3 linked regions of the Canis lupus familiaris genome follow. The protein of the gene in region 2 interacts with the protein of the main gene of each other region in a biochemical or structural test. Links are inferred from orthologs where the notes say so. Each region holds a gene or a part of one and is shown on either strand. Other genes may lie near its edges.

What was found.
Region 1: the proteins of RAD51AP1 (region 2) and DMC1 form a complex in vitro, tested with the Homo sapiens proteins (2 studies listed by BioGRID and IntAct). The link is inferred for Canis lupus familiaris from reciprocal best matches to the Homo sapiens genes RAD51AP1 and DMC1.
Region 3: the proteins of RAD51AP1 (region 2) and RAD51 form a complex in vitro, tested with the Homo sapiens proteins (6 studies listed by BioGRID and IntAct). The link is inferred for Canis lupus familiaris from reciprocal best matches to the Homo sapiens genes RAD51AP1 and RAD51.

The regions. Positions count from the first base shown.
Region 1 is NC_049231.1:27,230,867-27,237,010, reverse strand, and holds part of DMC1 (meiotic recombination protein DMC1/LIM15 homolog), read right to left. Parts: intron 5,971-6,144; coding exon of another isoform or gene 5,938-5,970; coding exon 5,887-5,937; exon of another isoform or gene 5,886-5,886; intron 5,071-5,885; coding exon 5,026-5,070; intron 4,102-5,025; coding exon 3,955-4,101; intron 1,808-3,954; coding exon 1,725-1,807; intron 1-1,724. UniProt on the Homo sapiens protein: Participates in meiotic recombination, specifically in homologous strand assimilation, which is required for the resolution of meiotic double-strand breaks.
Region 2 is NC_049248.1:5,763,414-5,769,557, forward strand, and holds part of RAD51AP1 (RAD51-associated protein 1), read left to right. Parts: intron 1-2,133; coding exon 2,134-2,243; intron 2,244-3,626; coding exon 3,627-3,713; intron 3,714-4,691; coding exon 4,692-4,841; intron 4,842-6,144. UniProt on the Homo sapiens protein: Structure-specific DNA-binding protein involved in DNA repair by promoting RAD51-mediated homologous recombination.
Region 3 is NC_049251.1:8,125,498-8,132,146, reverse strand, and holds the start of RAD51 (DNA repair protein RAD51 homolog 1), read right to left. Parts: upstream 3,897-6,649; 5' UTR 3,640-3,896; intron 1-3,639.

The sequences.
Region 1 (6,144 bases), on a different chromosome or scaffold from region 2:
CATGTAGAAGGAAAAAGTATTCCAAGCAGAGGAAATGGTAAGTGCAAAGACCCTGAGGATGGAGTGTATCTGGCATGTTCTAGGAATAGCAAAGAAGTTGGTGTGGTTGGTGTATAGCAAACTGAAAAAAGAATAAAAAGATGAGAGTTGATTAAAGAGGATTTTGGCTTTTGCTCTGAGATGAGGAGTCATTAGAGTAGTTTTGGGCAGAGAATGTCATGATTTGACCTAAATTTGTTGATTTTTGTTTTTGTTTTTAAGAGAGAGTGGGGGGCAGAGCGGGAGGGGCAGAGGGAGAGAATCCCAAGCAGACTCCCCACTGAGTATGGAACCCCATGATGCAGGGCTAGATCCCGTGACCCTGAGATCATGACCTGAGCCAAAATCAAGAGTCAGACACTCAATCGACTGAATGACCCAGACGCCTGTGACCTAAGTTTTAAAGGGATCATTCCGGCTACTGTGTGAAGAATAAATAGTAGAGGCAAGATCTGAAAGAGAGAGGCTAGAAGCATTATAATACTCCAGAGGAGATATTAATAGATAGTTTAAACCAGTGAGGTAACAGTGGAGGAGGTGGTAGAGAATTAATTGAATTCCTATTTCTTCTTTTTTCTATACACACACACATAGAAAAAAATATATAAATGTTATAATGGAAAGTTTCAAACATAAACTAAAGTGGACAAAAAACAGTATACTAACGAGCCATCATGTACCTATCACTTAGCTTCAACAATTACCAACTATGAACTCATGGTCAATCTTTTTTCATATAAACCTCTAATTACTTCCCTCCCCTTTCATACTATTTTAAGCAGAGACTGGACAATATATCATTTTATCCTAAATATTTCAGTAGTTATCTCTAAAAAAATGAATACTCTTATTTTAAACATAATCATATTATCATTATTACCTAAAAAAGTAGTAATTCTGGGGTACCTGGGTGGCTCAGATGGTTGAGCATCTATCTGCCTTACGTCAGGCTCATAGCTCAGTGGGGAGTCTGCTTCTCTTCTCTCTGCCTCTTTCTGTTTGTACTCCCTTTCTCTCTCTTAAATGAATAAATAATCTTAAAAAAGGTAAGTGTTCAATCTTCCAATTGTCTCATATACATCTTATTTTTTATAGTGTATTTGAATCAGGATCCAAATAAAATCCATATATTGGGGATTAGGTAAAATGTCTTTTAAATCTCTTTTAATCTCTACGTCTTCTCCCTGACTTCATCTTTTTTGATTCCTTGTAATTTATTTGTTGAAGAAATGAATAGGGTGATTTGTTGTTGAAGGTAGAGCAGACAGAATTTGTTAATGAGTAAGAGCTTCTGATGCTAAAGAGCAAAAAAAAAAAAAAAACCCACTGAATTTATTTCTTCTAAAATATTCAATCTAACAACTGATTTTTAAGTAAAACCAAAAGTGAAATGGAATTTCCTTTATCAACAAGAAGAAAAGGAAATGAAAAGTTAAACTGATTTTCAAGATGGTTTTAAAAATACAGGCTGATTCAGAAAACTACTTATATTTTGGGTCTGAATTTCTTATAAGAAATTTAATCTTGCTTCTACAAATCATCTGGAATTTGTTTGCTTTAGTAGTAGTCTTTTAGGAAAAAAAAAGCTACTTCAGAAAAAGAAGCTATTTCTAACAAACTCAAGAAAAAAGATACAACATTCCAAAGATTGTGTCTAGTGGTTGTAAAAGATACAAGATACACACTCAAATTCCTGGCTCCCAGTGGTGATATGGAAAACCATCTTTCTCTTCTCACTATACTCAAAGGCAGTCAAGAATCCTGGTTCCTACAGAAAGACAAAAGGAAAGGTTCAAAAGGGTATAAGATGATGATGTTAACTTCAAATGCTGCCCAAAACTCTCTACTTGATTATCAGGGTCATCATTTGATATGAGCTACAATTCATTTATTTATCTTTGAAAGCAGCACAAGATCATGGTTAAAAAAACAGGTGCTGGAACTGCCCTATGTAGGTTCAAAATATGTCTCTAATACTTACTAGTTGTGTAATTTAGGGTAAACTACTTAATCTTGCTGTACTCCAACTTATTTTTGGGGTCAAATCAGAATAAGAACAGTGTCTCTCTCATAGGGTAGCTATAAAATTTAAATGAGGTATATTTATTGCACAAAGCAGAATGGTATTTTACTAAATGATTCCATTGACCAGCATCATTTCCCCCTAGCTCTGGAAATTTCAAGGAGCACAGAAATTCACTATTCATGAGACAATATCTGTCAGCAGTAGAAATGCTACTTATTTGCCAAATCAATGAGCTGTAGCGATGCAGTAGTGTAACTAGTGAGAACAGGGCTTGATGTGCTCTAATGATATGGTCTAATGTATTTCTGTTCTTGTTTCATAGGACAGTGGTTCTCAAACTTTGGAGAACTTGACAGGAGGTTTAAAAAGCCCAAACCGGGGTACCTGGGTGGCTCAGTCAGTTGAGTCTCTGACTCGTGATTTCAGTTCAGGTCATGAGATCAAGCCCCATGTAGGGCTGTGTGCTGAGTGTGGAGCCTACTTGGGGTTCTCTCTCTCCCTCGCCCTCTGCCCCTCCCCCACCCTGTAAAATAAGTAAATAAAATGTTTAAACTCACAACTCTTTAAAAAAAAAAAACACCCAGGCCCTATCCTATTTCAACAAGTCTGGGCGTATGTCTTCATTATTAGCCGCTCCAGGTCATTGATACGCACTGTTTGGAACCACTATATTACTAAATTAACTTCCTTTCTCTCTCTGTCTCTCTCTCCCTCACTCCACCCCTTCCCTCCTTCCCTCCCTCCCTCCTTCTATCTCTCAATCTCTTTCTAAGAATAAACAGCTTTAGTTAAGAAAGGATGCAGATTCTGGGTTCACTAGTATATGCTTGAGAAGGAGAGGGATTCTTTTCTTTGATAATGGGATTTAGTTTACAAGGAAAATAAGAGTAATGCTTATGAACTCTAAAGTGGCAGTTTTAAAAACTCTGGGTACTGCTCTAGGGCAGTTGTAGAATTGACCTATGAATATACCGCCTGAGTTTACTCAGAAGTTAGGGCAACTGAGCTGGGTTCAGAAGAGTTCAGTTAGGTTGTCTCCAAGTTCAGGACCACACAGCCACTGTCATCACTGTCACACTTCAACTGCCTCTGAGGAAGGAAACCAAATGGCTGTCCATGAAGAACGCTTCTAGGAGTTGCTGGGAATAAGACCCTCACACACCTGTGTAAATATGGAAAGCCTTGTTCTGCAAAAGGAGAGACTTGGTGACTTTCTTTCCGCACATTCTTGTTATCAGTGCTAGTGCCTCCACTGGCCTCCAAAAATTCAACACAAAAGCTAGGGTCAAAGGCATATGTTTTTGCTTGGAGCCTCTTAGCTGCATGGGCCTCTCATAGTCTGTGGGCCAGCTCCAAGGTGTGAGTTTAGCTCAGCTGCAGTTCATCTGCCTCAGTGAGCATATTCTTGGTCATATCTATCTCGACTGTATACGTGTAGACCACACTGTTAGTCTTATTCTAACCCAACGTTCCCTTACCAATTGACCTATACCATGAGAGTACAACTTCTTTGGTGCTGAGTGCTTTGCAACAACCAAAGATACAATATTTGAGAAGACAAAGCAAAAATAAGGAGTTAAGGCATAGAAACATAAAGAGAGAAAAATTAATATAAAAGGAGATCCAAAAAAAAGGCTTGGTAGAAATGATTATAGTATTCAAGTCTCTTTAACTCTTGTCTCAATCTGTCAAAGATTAATTGCTGTTGCTTTGAAACTGAAGTGATCAAAAGTTAACACGAGGATATAATAGATTGTGATCCATAGAAATTCAGGGTTCCCTCAGTAGTTTCTAGTATTTGTGAGGAGTTTCTGGTGTTCAATGAGAAAGGCTACAGAGACTCCCAGGGCCCTTCTAAGCTAAAACAACAAAGAATTGATCTTGCTTACAATAAGTTTGTTGGCTGCCTCTTTAATCTTGTCCACTTTTGCTTCTGAGAGCCCTTTGACATTGCATAGTGCTCTTCTTGTTGTCATTTGTATCCCTTTGATGGTACAGATTCCTACTGACTTCAGTTTCTTAATGTCAGCCACATTCTGTAAATAAAAGAATGGGTGCAGCAGATTGATAAAATGCCAGCCTGCAAGGCTCCCATACTATGTCATGTGCTTTTGTGTCCATCTCCTTCTACCATGATGCCAATTTTATACAAGCAGCCAGGTGGAACCCACCCACCATGTAGCCAAATGTTCTGGAAATATCTGAGTAGAACATACCCAGCATGCTGCCAAATGTTCTGGCTGTGCCCTGATTTCCCAAGAATGTTAGTGAGACCATGGCAATGTAACAAGGAATTCAAAAGAAAAGTCTGTTGGTAGAAAAGCTAGCAAATTTATCACACATTCGCCCCCTCGGTTCAGCTCTTTCCTTCTAGAGAACTTCATTATGAATATGGTTTTTTTAATTAATTTTTTTTCTTCTACCCTTGGGAAATGCAAATAACTACATTACCAAAGGGCCAGGATTTTCTCTTGCTCCTATTTTCTAAATCCAACTGAAAGAAATTAAATGTGAGGGCTTCAAAAGATAATGTCAGAGTTTTACTATCAATGAACTGCTGTTGAATTCATCTTGTTACTCAAAGTCTGATTTTGGTCAACATCATTTACTCTAATCACCTGCCAAGGAACTGAATTTTCTGTTGAAGACCGTGGTAGGTAGCCCTGAATACCTCCAGTCGGACCAGTGGTTCTCAACCGGGGGCAGTTTTGCCCCCTTGGGTCATATGACAATGTCTAGAGAAATTTTTGGTTGTCATAACTAAAAGGGGTGCTATCAGCATAAAGTGAGTGGTCAGGAGCCAGGGATGCTACTAAATACCTTACAAATGCACCCCCACACACACACACACACAACTAAGAATTGCCCAGTCCCAAATGTCAATAGGGTCAAGGATGAGAAACCCTGAATTGAACAATTTCACACTGAAAACTTACATTGAAAATTGAAAAAATACTTACGATTCCATGTTTTTGTAACAGGTCAATGTCTTGAAACAAAGATTCCTGAAGGGGATGCAACAGAAAATAAAAAGTGGAGCTTTGATTCTTCATTATCCAATTGTATCATATCTTTTAAAGGGTTGATTCAATATTATGAGTTACTCCAAAATGCCTCAAATTCCACTTCTCTAGATAGATCGAGGTAGGATCAATAATGTGTTTTTCAAACACATTATTATATATTTAGAAGATGCACCAGCACTGAAAGGGCTGGGAAGCCCAATATTTTTGTCATGTCCTGTCCAGATTTTTAAGACCTTAACCCAAAGGAGTGGAACAACATTTAACTTATTTTATTTTTTTAAAGATTTATTTATTTATTGGAGAGAGAGAGAGAGAGAGAGAGGCAGGCAGAGGCAGAGGAAGAGGGAGAGAGAAACTCCACCAGACTCTATGTTGAGTCTGGAACCTGATGTGAGACTTGATCTCACTAACCTGAGATCAGATCTAAGCCAAAAACAAGAGTCGAATGTTTAACTGACTACACCACCCAGACGCCCCTATTTTAAAATATGTTTTCTCAACTTTCTGCCCCACCAGACCTTGAACTCCTTCCTCTGCTATTTGGTACCAGCCTGCAGAGTTACCATCATGGTGGTACCAGTTGTTAGGTTATTAAAATACTTTCACGCTTAGTTGCTAAGTAGCTAATCTTAGCACCCTTTGCCAAACAAGTTGTTACATATTTGTAATATTGCCTCTCTTTAGAACTATGCTTTCTTTCCATCTCTGTTTCTAAAAATAATAGCTAGCAGAGAAGGAACTTCATTTTTGTGGAATGACTGAATGTCTACCCATGTTTCAAAATTCTAGCCATACTTCTTCATCTTGGAATCCTGGTTCTTCCAGCACAACTTGATCCTCCTTCATCTTGAAAGGTGAGCAGCAGAAAAACAATCAGTTCTGGGGAAAATAAGAAATATTATCTAAAAAGTAGTCATAGATCATATAGTACAAAAATCCTTTGCCCAGAGATCTTGATTTCATTTCAAAGTCACCAAAGACCAAAAGAGCTATAAGAGATATATTTAGTTTAGAATGATTTAGTATCTTCTTTTTGCTGGGCACCTGACATTT
Region 2 (6,144 bases):
TACAAAGTTTAGGAGTTACAGCTTAATTTTATAGGAATCTGTACCTGTCTTGAAGTCCTCAAATCTTATAAGACCACTTTTTAAAAATCACATTTCTAAGGATAGTTTTATAAAAATTAAAACCCATGAATTTTTATGCAGATAAAAGATACTTCCTCTTTATATTGTTGAGACTTGTCCAGCACTGAGTAGTTCCTATAGTTTGTAGACATATCCTGGATTTCCATTAGTTAGTACCAAGAGAGAAGAGAGGAATGAGGGAAGGAAGTCCCAAGTGGCCCCAAACCTGTATAATGGAGAGGAGATGGGCAGATGGGGAGTATTAACAAATGGAACATGGGGCGTGATATGGTTCAGCATGATATGATATGCTGCGGGTATTAGAAAAGTTCATTAACCTAGAGTGATTTACCCTGTGTTCTGCTCTTTACCTTTTTCTCTTATTTTCATTTTTGTTTTTGAGCTTCTTATTCTACATTTCAAACACAGTGAAAAAAATAACCTACAGATGGGAGAGAATATTTGCCAATCATATAATTGATGAGGGATTTGTATTCAGAATATATAAAGAACTCTTACAGCTCAACAATAAAAAGACTAATAACCCAATTTACAAAATGGGCAAAGGATTTGAGTAGACATTTCTCCAAAGAAGATCTACAAATGGCTAATAAGCACATAAAAAATGCTTGTCATCCTTAGCCATCAGGGAAGTACAAATCAAAATCATGGTAAAATGGTACTTCACACCCACTGGGATGGCCATAATCTAAAAGACAGACAATAACTAGTGTTAAAGAGGAAATGGAGAAATTGGAACTCTCATACATTGTTGCTGGGAATGTAAAATGGTGCAGCCACATTGAAAAGCAGAGTTAGCAGTTCTCAAAATGTTAAACACTGAATTATTCATGACCCAGCCTATTATATACCCAGGAGAAATGAAAACATATACCCACAGAAAAACTTGGACATGAAGGTTCACAGCATTATTCATAATAGCCAAAAAATGGAAGCATCCTAAATATCCATCCACTGGTGAATAGGAATAAATAAAATGTCTGTCTATACACTGGAATATTATTCAGCAATGAAAAGAAGTACTGATGATATATGCTACAAAATGGATGAACCTTGAAAACATGCTGAGCAAAAGCAGCCAAATATAAAAGGCCATGTGTATGATTCCACTAATATGAAATGTCTAGAATAGGTGAGTCCATAGAAAGTAGATTAGTGGTTTCCAGGTGTTGGAAGGGGGAAGCAGGGCGTGACTGCTAATGGATATAGGGTTTCTTTTTGGGGTGATGAAAATACTCTGAGGTTAGATAGCAGTGACGATTTCTCAACTCTAAATATACTAAAGACTGCTGAATTGTACACTTTAAAAGGGTGAGTTTTATACTATATGAATTATATCTCAATAGAACTTTTGTTTTTTAAAAAATAATAAATCTTGAAAGATGCATCTCAATATTTTATCCTTTATGTAACCTTTTTCTTTTTAATATTTGATTTCTCTTCTCAAGTACCATAGTGCTTTTGACCACTGCAATATGAAACATAATAATCTACATGTGTAGGATAATTATTAGTGTGTCTTATTTCCCTACATTCCTCATTAATTGCAGACACCTTGAGGGTACTTTTAGTATTCTATCCAGTGTTGTGGCGCATACACAGTAAGTACCTGGTGACAAATTTGTTAAAGTCAAGATGAGGAGGAACAGATTTGTTAAAAACCAGTTTAGTAGAAGAGCTATAATACTTGTCTAAGGAGGTATAAGTGAGGTCGGGGAAGATTCCTAAGTGGATTTTTCAGCCAAGCTTTTATAATAGGTTGAGCAGGTGCTTGGAATCGGTAGTGAGGATTGGCATTACACAGAAAGGGAACAGTTTTTTACAATGGCACTTGCTGCTCCTCTTGTAAATCTCTTATGCTAAATGCAACATGACATTACTACATATTTAGCAGTGTTGTCATTAAAGTCAATTATGATCATGATTACAATTTAAAAGCATTTTTGTGAGGTTAGCAGCTCTTAAATAGTAATTCAGGAAAATCACAGATTTTGCTATTTGGTCGAGATTGGCATTTTTAAAAACTCATTTTTATTTGTGTGTTCACCTCAGGATGGCTTTAGATGACAAGCTCTACCAGCGAGACTTAGAAGTCGCACTAGCTTTATCAGTGAAGGAACTTCCGACAGTCACCATTGATGTGGAAGAGGCTCAAGATAAAAGTAATTTTATTTTCCATATATTTATCTTTATGTCCTTATTGTTTTCATAATCATTTCTCTGGGTGAGCCTTTACAGAGGAAAAGAATAAAATTTTAAAACTTTGGATAACAAATGGAATACTTTGCAGAGGGACACAATTAGATTCAGTTGCTTATTCTGCTGCATAAATCTCATACACACACACATCTCTGCTTAACACTTAAACTTGTGGTCATGGACTATGAGCTTGGATTTTTGTGTATAGTGGGGATTTAATCTCTTGATCAAATGAATTGAGATCAATTCAATACAATCAATACAATTCAATACAATTCAATACAATCAATACAATCATAACAATCCAACTATTTTCTCTCAAAATTCAAATCAGTTAAACATGACCTATTGATGGTAATTTTTATTATTTATAAAAGTTAACGATTCTAGTTTGGTTAGCAAGCTCAGTGGAAGTAAGAGATGTGTGACTTCTGGACTTCTCTGGGTTTTTCTCCTTTGATTTGTCTGCCACCTGTGCAGCAGATGGCAGAGGCAGAAATCATTATTCCTGGAAAAGATACTGAAACTTAAAATACCTTTTTGATGAAACAAAACAGTTTCAAAAGGACTTAACTTATGATGGAGGATAATTTTTAGCTCATTAGCTTATTTAGGGGTATAGATGTTTAAGTCAGTATTGCCTTCTTTTTGGAAATGAATGAGACACTCTTGATTAGGGAGTCATTTAGTAATCAGGAAATCAAGGAAACATAAAAACAATTGTTTTATATCTAAAAATTGAGGAAATGAAATCCATCTTTCTCTTGTAAAGGATGGTAAAATACATAGCAGAATTTCCTTGGAAATATCACTTTTCATAGATTAATGTACTTTATAGTAATGGGATTTAATAGTACCAATTATTGTGACTAAAAGTCCTCTTGAAATACTTTAGATCATTTTAAGGTTATTATAATGATTGAAGAGGCTTTGTTAGTAAGAGTGTGTATCTGCCTACACAGAAATGACAGTTAATATTTATTGACTGTTTCCTGTGTGCTGGGCAATAAGCAATTCCTACATGTGGTTGACATTTAATCCCCCACAATAATCCCAATTAATCCACACACTATTTATTATTTCTGTATTATCGATGAGGACATTAAGTCTTAGAGGGGATAAGTAACTTTCCAGTGGTCATATAGCCAATGTTTCAACTGAAGTCTCAGTCTGATTTCAGAGCCCAAACTCTTAACCATATCCTTTCCAAGGTAAATCATTGTGTTATAAGTCTGCATCATTTATCTGTATCTGGATGCCTTTACATTTGAGCACCAATTTTCCTATTTCTGCTCATTGGCTGATTAAGATGCATCTGTACTTTTTGTCCTCTTCCTTGTCTTTAGGCACTGGGAAATGTGGCAGCAGCGAAACTGGGACAATGAATAAGGCTCCCCATATCTCTAATTGCAGTGTAGCCAGTGATTATTTAGGTAAGTTTTGATATTAGTAATAATACTTACTTTTTCTGGGATGCCTGGGTAGCTCAGTGGTTGAGCATCTGCCTTCGGCTCAGGGTGTGATCCCAGGGTCCTGGGATCAAGTCCCACATCAGGCTCCCTGCAGAGAGCCTGCTTCTCCCTCTGCCTATGCCTGTGCCTCTCTTTCTCTCTCTGTATCTCTCATGAATAAATAAATCAAATCTTTAAAAGAAATTTACTTTTTCTATTGACAGTGCTGTTTTCCTAACTTTTATTTAAATACCTGACCCTGCAGAGACTCATTGGGAAAGGGGGAGAAAATTGAATGGGAAGAAATCAGAGAGGAAGATAAACCATGAGAGACTCTGAGCTCTAGGAAACAAACTGAGGGTTGCTGAAGGGGAGGTGGTTGAGGGATGGGGTAACTGGGTGATGGGCATTATGGAGGGCACAGAATGTGATGAGCACTGGGTGTTATATACAACTGATGAATCACTGAATTCTACCTCTGAAACTAATGATGTACTATATGTTGGCTAATTGAATTAAAATTAAAAAAAAAAAAAAACCTGACGCTAGCTAGAACCAAGATACTTAAATTTGTTAAGGTTCCCTTCACCTCTTCTCCTTTGTTTCTTTGTGTTTTAGCTTTCTTCCTTTTTACTGCAGACCTGTTTTCTTCTTTCCAGGGGGAGGGTCATGACTACCATGGCTTCTAGTCAATAGCTGTTGACCACTGAAAAAAAGGGGCTTCATCTTCCCAGCTCCAGTTTTACAATTTCTTGGGGCAAGAATCCTCAGTTGGGCTGTCTTGTCAGGAGACTGAGGTATTATGATTGACCCACATTGGACTGTGTGGTCTCTCAGAAGCCACGGAGGGATGAGGCAGGGCAAATAAAAACAACAGATGTGATAGAAGCCTGCTCTGCAGTTCTTTAAGTATTACCTGTCACAAAAAGTTTTCCATTGGTTTTTATGCCTCCCCTGAAGATTTGGACAAGATCACTGAGGAAGATGATTTTCATGGTGTTGAAGGGAAAAGAAAAGCAGCATCAAAAGCTGTGGTACAACAGAGGAAGATTCTTCTGGAAGGCAGTGATGGCGATAGTGCTAATGACTCTGAACCAGACTTTGCAACTGGTGAGTTCTGTCCTACTTCAAAATTAAACCTATGGAAATTCAGTAAAAAGTCCTTAGAGACCATTAATGTATGTGAAGCACTGTGCTGTTTGGTGTATGCAAACTTGAGGAACACGCAGGACAGTTAAATTCAGCTCTGCCTTTGGGGAAAAGGCTTTATGTAGAGGTAACCTTTAGGCCGTGCCTTGAAAAATGAATAGCATTTAGGCAAAATAGCAGGGTAAAATTGCATTCCTGACTGACAGAAAGGTATAAACAGTGGAATAGACAAGCACATATATAAGAGGTCACTGAGCCCACAGGAGAGAATGTTATAGAAGAGGTGAAAGAGGCAGGCTGGCACAAGATCAAGGAGGGTCTCAGACCCATTCTGAGCAGTGTACACTTTTTTTTTGTAGGTAGTAGAAATTCATGACATATTTTGGGGTTGAAGTGATAGGAAACCTGTATTTTATTGTGACATGTTTTCAGACTTATTCAGAAGTTAGGGCACATGGGAAGCATAGTGACCTTGACAGAGCATCATAATATATTAATTAAAACTTAAAATGAATAAATTCATAAGTTTGTGCCAAATCAGATATATAGCTTGATAGATTTTAACATGCTGTTGACAGATGGATTTGTTCGCCACCATTCTGTAAATATTTGAGTATCTGTTGTGTGCATTATATTCTAGACGCTAGAAATACAGCAGTGAACAACAACGACACAGAAACCAGGGCTCCCTTAAGGAGCTTAAATTCAAGTGAAGGGACAGACAATAATGAAATGTAGAATGTGTCCAGTGTCATCATAGAAGAGCTATGAAAAAGAGAAATGCGGGGTAGAGCCCAGAAATCTGCCTTTTGAACCAATACCTGCCCTTTGATATGACCCACATCGTGCCAAAGCAGGTCGAGATCTTCCTATCTGGAGAAACTCTGACATAAGTGGAGCACTAGAAGGTAGAAGCCAGTGAAAGAAAAAGCCCTGACGTAGTATAGTAGAGCATGAACCGAGTTGCTTCCCAACTTAAGGGTCCTTAATCCAAAAAAGCCCAAAATAATAAAAATAACCCCTTGTCAGTTTGTTTTTTCATGGATGATGATCAGAGCATTTCTGCTATGATTTCCTTATTGCTATCTGATGCATGCTTGTCAGAAAAATCCTGTAAACAATTTTAAAGCTATAAATTGCAGTCCTACTTATTATGCCAATGAAATTAATTTGTCTTTAACAAACATGGCTAACATGTTTTTTTTTCTATGTGGAAATGAAATCACTTGCTTTGTTTGTTGGGTTTACTTTTTAAATTTTTTTC
Region 3 (6,649 bases), on a different chromosome or scaffold from region 2:
CTGTATGTTATGCTATGCTCACCATAAGTGTAGCTACCATCTGTCACCAAACAACACTATTACAATATCACTTACTATATTCCCTATGCTCTACCTTTTATTCCTGTGATTTTTTCATTCCATAACTGGTAGCCTGTACCTCTCACTCACTTTCACCCCTCTGCCCATTCTTCCTCCTCCCCTCTGGGAACCATCAGTTTGTTCTCTGTATTTATGGGTCTGTTTCTGCTTTTTGTTTGTTCATTTATTTTTTTTACATTCCACATATAAATAAAATCATATCATATTTTTTTCTCTGTATGACTTATTTCACTTAGTATAGTACCCTCTAGGTTCCCCCATATTGTTGCAAAGGGGAAGATCTCGTGTGTGTGTGTGTGTGTACATATCCTTTATCCATTCATGTGTGGATGGATACTTGGGTTGCTTCCATATCTTGGCTATTATAAATAATGCTGCAATAAACAATGGGTTGCATATATCTCTTCAAGTTAGTGTTTTTTCTTTGGGTAAATACCTAGTAGTGCAATTACTGGATCACATGGTATTTCCATTTTTAATTTTTTGAGGAATCTCAATACTGTTTTCCACAGCAGCTGCACAAATGTAAATTAGTGCACCAACAGTTCATGAGGGTTCCTTTTTTTCCACATCCTTACCAGTCAGGCTCCCCTATTTCTTATCTTTTTAATTTTAGCCATTCTGGTAGATGGGACATAATATCTCATTGCGGTTTTGGTTTGTATTTCCCTGATGATTAATGATGTTGAGCACCTTTTCATGTGTCTGTTTGCAATTAATTTGTGTCTTCTTTGGAAATGACCATTTGTTCTTAATTAGTTCAGATGCAGATCTCTTAGATGGCAAATTTAGCATAATGTATATCTCTGATAATGTTAAATACTGGAATCACCTGAATGCAGTTTAAATTTAAACATCTTGGGATGCCTAGGTGGCTCAGCAGTTGAGCGTCTGCCTTCGGCTCAGGGCATGATCCTAGAGTCCCAAGTCCCACAATGGGCTTCTGGCATGGAGACTGCTTCTCCCTCTGCCTATGTCTCTGCCTCTCTCTGTGTCTTTCATGAATAAAATCTTTTTTTTTTAAGATTTTTTTTTTTTTTTTAATGAGAGAATGAGAGAGAGAGAGAAGCAGAGACACAGGCAGAGGGAGAAGCAGGCTCCATGCAAGCAGCCCGACGTGGGACTCGATCCAGGGTCTACAGGATCAAGCCCTGGGCTGAAGGTGGCACTAAACCGCTGAGCCACCAGGGCTGCCCAGAATAAATAAAATCTTAAAAAAAAAAAAAAATTTAAACACCTCCCTTCATAATTTATGAAGAAGATGGAATTACAGAGAATGGAAAAAGGATTTTTTTTTTCAATAAAAAGTGCTAGGTTGATGGGAGAGCCTTACAGAATAAGAAAAAGAACAAAAACAAAATAAAACACTGCACATACAGAAGAAACATCTGTTTCCAATTCGATTACAGATCTAAATATAAGAGGTAAAACAAAGCTTTTGGAATATAGGTGAATGTTTTCATGACTTTGGGATAAAACTTTCTTAAAGCAACAACGAAAAAAAAGACTGAAAAATCGGACATTTAAACTTAAAACTTCTATCCATCAAAAGACACTATTAAGAAAATGAAGTCAAACTACAGGTGGGAGACAAAATATTTACCATATATACAACTAAGGGCTGATAATTAAAATATATAAAGAACTTCAAATCAGCAAGAAAGGCAACCCAATAGGGACACTTGGATGGCTCAGCGGTTGAGCATCTGCCTTTGGCTCAGGGTGTGATCCCGCAGTCCCAGGATCGAGTCCCACATCGGACTCCCTGCATGGAGCCTGCTTCTGCTTCTCCCTCTCCCTCTCTCTCATGAATGAATAAATAAAATCTTAAAAAAAGGAAAGGAAAGGAGAGGAAAGGAGAGAGGGAAGGAGAGAGGGAAGGAAAGAGGGAAGGAAAGAGGGAAGGGAAGGGAGAAAGGCAACTCAATAGAAAAACAGACAAGAGATTGGAACAAGTACTTCAGGATAGAAGATGTCCAAATGGGCCAAAAACGATGAACCAATGCTCAACCTGACTAATTATCAGGAAAATCAAAATTAAAACCACGAAGTATTACTATATGCCACCAAAACAGATAAAATTTTAAAAGATTGACAATATCAAGTGTTGGCAAGCATGTGAAAAAACTAAACACTCATACACTGCTGGTGTAAATGTAAATTGGTAGCAGAAAACTGGCAGTAGGGATGCCTGGGTGGCTCAGCGGTTTAGCACCTGTCTTTGGCCCAGGGCATGGATGCGGAGTGTCGGGATCCAATGCCACACCGGGCTTCCTGCATGGAGCCTGCTTCTCCCTCTGCCTGTGTCTCTGCCCTTCACTCTCTTTCATGAATAAATAAATAAAATCTTTAAAAAAAGAAAACTGGCATTAAATGTGGAAGTTGAATATAGACAAATGCTATGACCCAGGAATTTCAACGCTGTATTACTAACCAACTGAAAACCATACACGTTTGTACCAAAACATACGCAGGAATGTTCTCTGCAGATTTTCTCATTTAAAAACTCAGAAACTAGAAACAACCCAAATGTCCACCATGGGCATGGGCAGAATGAATAAGGAATTCAATACAGAAACTAAAAAGAACTATTACTATATGCAAAAATAAGTACGAATCTACAGACAGAATGTTGAGCAAAACCAAACACAAAAATATACATAATATGGGGAAACTGGGTGGCTCAGCGGTTGAGCATCTGCTGTCGCTCAGGTCATGATCCCGAGCTTCTGGGATCGAGTCTCGCAGCAGGCTCCCTGAAGAGCCTGCTTCTCCCTCTGCGTCTCTCATAAATAAATGAATAAACAAAACCTTTTAAAGATAGATAATATCAGTTACACAAAACTCAAACACAGGCAAATTTAGTCTTTGGTGTCAGAAGTCAATACAGAGGTTACCTTTGGAGAGAACAGGGGATGTTGGGGTGCTGACAACGTTCTATTTATTGACCTGAGTAATGACTGCACAGGTATATTCTTTTTGAAATCAGAGGCGTATACTATACACTTCTGATTTGTATATTCTTCCATACGCATATTACACTTCACTTTAGCAGTCAAAAGAAACCACTTCACTACAGATCATTCCCCAGGCATCATCACACGAACGGCCTGAATTAGCTAATGAAAACGCCTTTTAGGAAATTGGAAGCTGGTACTCCGTAAGCAAAGCAGGGTGTAATGGAAAGAGGATTAACCAGAAATCCGGAAACCCTGGCCCCGACAGAAACAGCTGTGACGTTAAATCACAACACCTCTCTGGATCTCGGCTTTCCCGCCGCCCCCACCCCCCCACCCCCAAACCGGGTGTTGAAAATGAAGGCCTCTGAGGTTCCTTCTAGCTCTGGAGCCTGGGGACCACTTCAGTTTTTGCCACAACGAGCCCCGACGGTGGGTTGGGCCCGGGCATGACCCTGCTCCGCCCCGCCAACTCCGGTTTCTCACTTGGCGCAGAGGGGCCCATAAGCCGGCTGCCGGCGGCACGGGCTCCGCCCGGTTCGGCTACTGCGGGGACGCACCGGGAGGCAGGAGGGGCCGAGTCTACGCCTCACACGCTCACCTCGGTCCACAGCGCTCCTCACTGCCGGGCTGCGCGCTCCGACTTCTGTCCGCGGGTCCGGTCCGCGCACGACTCTGGACGGGCTCTGGACTCCCTCCCTTGCTGCCAAATTTTCTACTCCCTTTTTGCCGCCTTCCGCACACAACCCAAGCGAGCTTCAGCTCCCAACGACGCCCCTAAGGGCGCGTCAGTCTCCTCAGGCTGGGTCTCAAACCGCAGAGCTCCCTCCGGGGAGTGTTTGGAGATCCCGCCAAATTCTCCGGCTGGGTCACGCCAGCGTCAACGTAACGTCTCCCCGCCCCCTCGGCCCGGAGGTCTAGCCCGCTCTGCGGCTGCTCGCGAACCCTAGTTGGGTCCAAGGAACTTGGTCTTGCCTCATGTGAGGCATTTGCCTCTTCCCTTTACCCCTAAAAACTAATTCACAATTTGGGAGTCGCCGCTTCCTTCTCTTTTACCAGACCAAGGACTACAACTCCCAAGAGGTAGTGGGGTGGGTCGGAGACTCCATCTCCCAGCAGGCACAGGGTCGCACACCACTTTAGCGCCTCACCCCTGCTGGGGGAAGGTCTGGCTCTAGAGAGCTGCTCTCGATTTGCCTCTTTAGTTTCTAAACCTGGACGTTTAGTCTGAGCTTCCGATTTCGTCAAATTCCCGGAGCCTGGGGTTTTCCTTCCAGGCCCCTGGAGGTGGTAGAGCTGAGATGGAACTGGAAACAGCTAACGAAGGGGAGAAAAATGGCTGAAATATTAGTCAAGTCTTGGTACTTGAGATTTGGAAGACTCCCGAGGGCAGGAGACACTGATTTTGAGAAAGTAAACCTTGTTTACTGGGAAGTTGGACCTGTGTGTGACTCCGGTTTTAAAGCGTTAATGGGGTTTCCTGGGCAAAGAAACGGAGATGGGAGACTTAGAGCACTATGGGTATGGAAATAACGTGGTCAAGCGATAGAATTGTCTGATGAAGGAGGAAAAGTGTCCTAGAGACGCTGATACTGGAAAATTAACATTTCATTCAGGTTATGAAGAAGCTTAAGGCCATGTGTGGAGCTTCAGTCTTTATTCTTTAAGTAATGAGGAAATCATTAAAAATCTTATTTTTTTTTAAAGATTTTGTTTATTCATGAGAGACACCCATAGAGGCAGAGGGAGAAGCAGAGGAAGAAGCAGGCTCCCTGGGGAGCCCAATGTGGGACTCATCCCAGACCCTCAGATCATGAACGGAGCCAAAGGCAGGGGCTCCACGCTGAGCCACTGAGGCACTCCTCATTGAAAGTTTTTGAGGGGATCCCTGGGTGGCGCAGCGGTTTGGCGCCTGCCTTTGGCCCAGGTGCGCGATCCTGGAGACCTGGGATCGAATCCCACATCGGGCTCCCGGTGTATGGAGCCTGCTTCTCCCTCTGTCTATGTCTCTGCCCCTCTCTCTCTCTCACTGTGTGCTTATCATAAATAAAATTAAAAAAAAAGTTTTTGAGCAGAGGAGTTCTATGGTTTGATCAATCTTTCCCCTACTACTACTTTATTTAGATCTATTTTTCCCCCACTACTACTGTATATTTGTGGAGTGCTTTAAAGTTCATAAAGCTTGTTTGGTTTTTTTTTTAATTTATTTATGATAGTCACAGAGAGAGGCAGAGACACAGGCAGAGGGAGAAGCAGGCTCCATGCACCGGGAGCCCGACGTGGGATTTGATCCTGGGTCTCCAGTATCGCGCCCTAGGCCAAAGGCAGGCGCCAAACCGCTGCGCCACCTAGGGATCCCTAGCATAGCATTCTTAATCTCAAAGATGCTTGTAGTCTATTTGGCAAAACAATGTGCAGGTGATATAAGTTCAATAACACAGCAACACTTGATTAACAGTGGGTTGTGCGTGTGGAGAGGTGGGCTCCCTGCAGGGAGTCTATGCAGAACTTGATCCCAGAACCCCAGGATCATAACCTGTGCTAAAGGCAGATGCTCAACCACTGAGCCACCCAGATGCCCTAAATCTGATATTTTCCAAATTTTTCCAATTTCTTAGGAGCCCAGTAGTACTTACTGTTCTTGAGATCTATGAGATACTCCTACATTCCTTTTTTTTTTTTTTTAATTTATTTATGATAGTCACAGAGAGAGAGAGAGGCAGAGAGGCAGAGAGGCAGAGACATAGGCAGAGGGAGAAACAGGCTCCATGCACTGGGAGCCCGATGTGGGATTCGATCCCGGGTCTCCAGGATCGCGCCCTGGGCCAAAGGCAGGCGTCAAACCGCTGCGCCACCCAGGGATCCCCTACTCCTACATTCCAATAAGTCTCCCTTCCATTTCTTCTGCTTAACCAGTTTGAGTAGTTTTCTGTTCCTCACTTCCAAGACAACCCACTAAACACTTGGAAATAAGATAAGCTAGAGTTCTTACTAACAGTTAAAAATATATAACAGTTAAATTAGCAAGCCGTGTGATTATTTACAAATGTGTAATTGAGGGGCATCTAGGTGGCTCAGGTGGTTAGGTGTCTGCCTTTCCCTTGAGTCATGATCCTGGGGTCCTGGGATCCAGCCCAGTGCAGAGCTTCCTGCTAAGCAGAGAATCTAATTCTCCTTCTGCCTCTCCCCCTACCCCTCCCTCTCACTCTTTTTTCTCAAATAAGTAATATCTTAAAAAAAATAAATGTGTAATTTAAAAGTTTGGGATATATCCTAAATCAGTCTAATGACCTATCTGAAATCTTAAGAAGGTAACCTCTAGTAAAACCAAAACTTAATCATCAGAAATCTAATCTTTTGTCTCAAGAAAAATGATCTGGCATAGTCAGCCTGTAGCAGAGTAAGGGAAATGCAGAAAGGGAAACCCACTGTCAAGTCCAAGTGATCCGACTGAGTAGTACAAGGATGATCCAGTGCACCTGGGTGACTCAGCAACTGAGTGTCTGCCTTCAGCTCAGGATGTGATCCTGGATCCTGTGTCTGGGGATCGAACCTCACATCAGGCTCCCTGCAAGGAGTCTGCTTCTTCCTCTGCCTGTGTCTCTACCTCT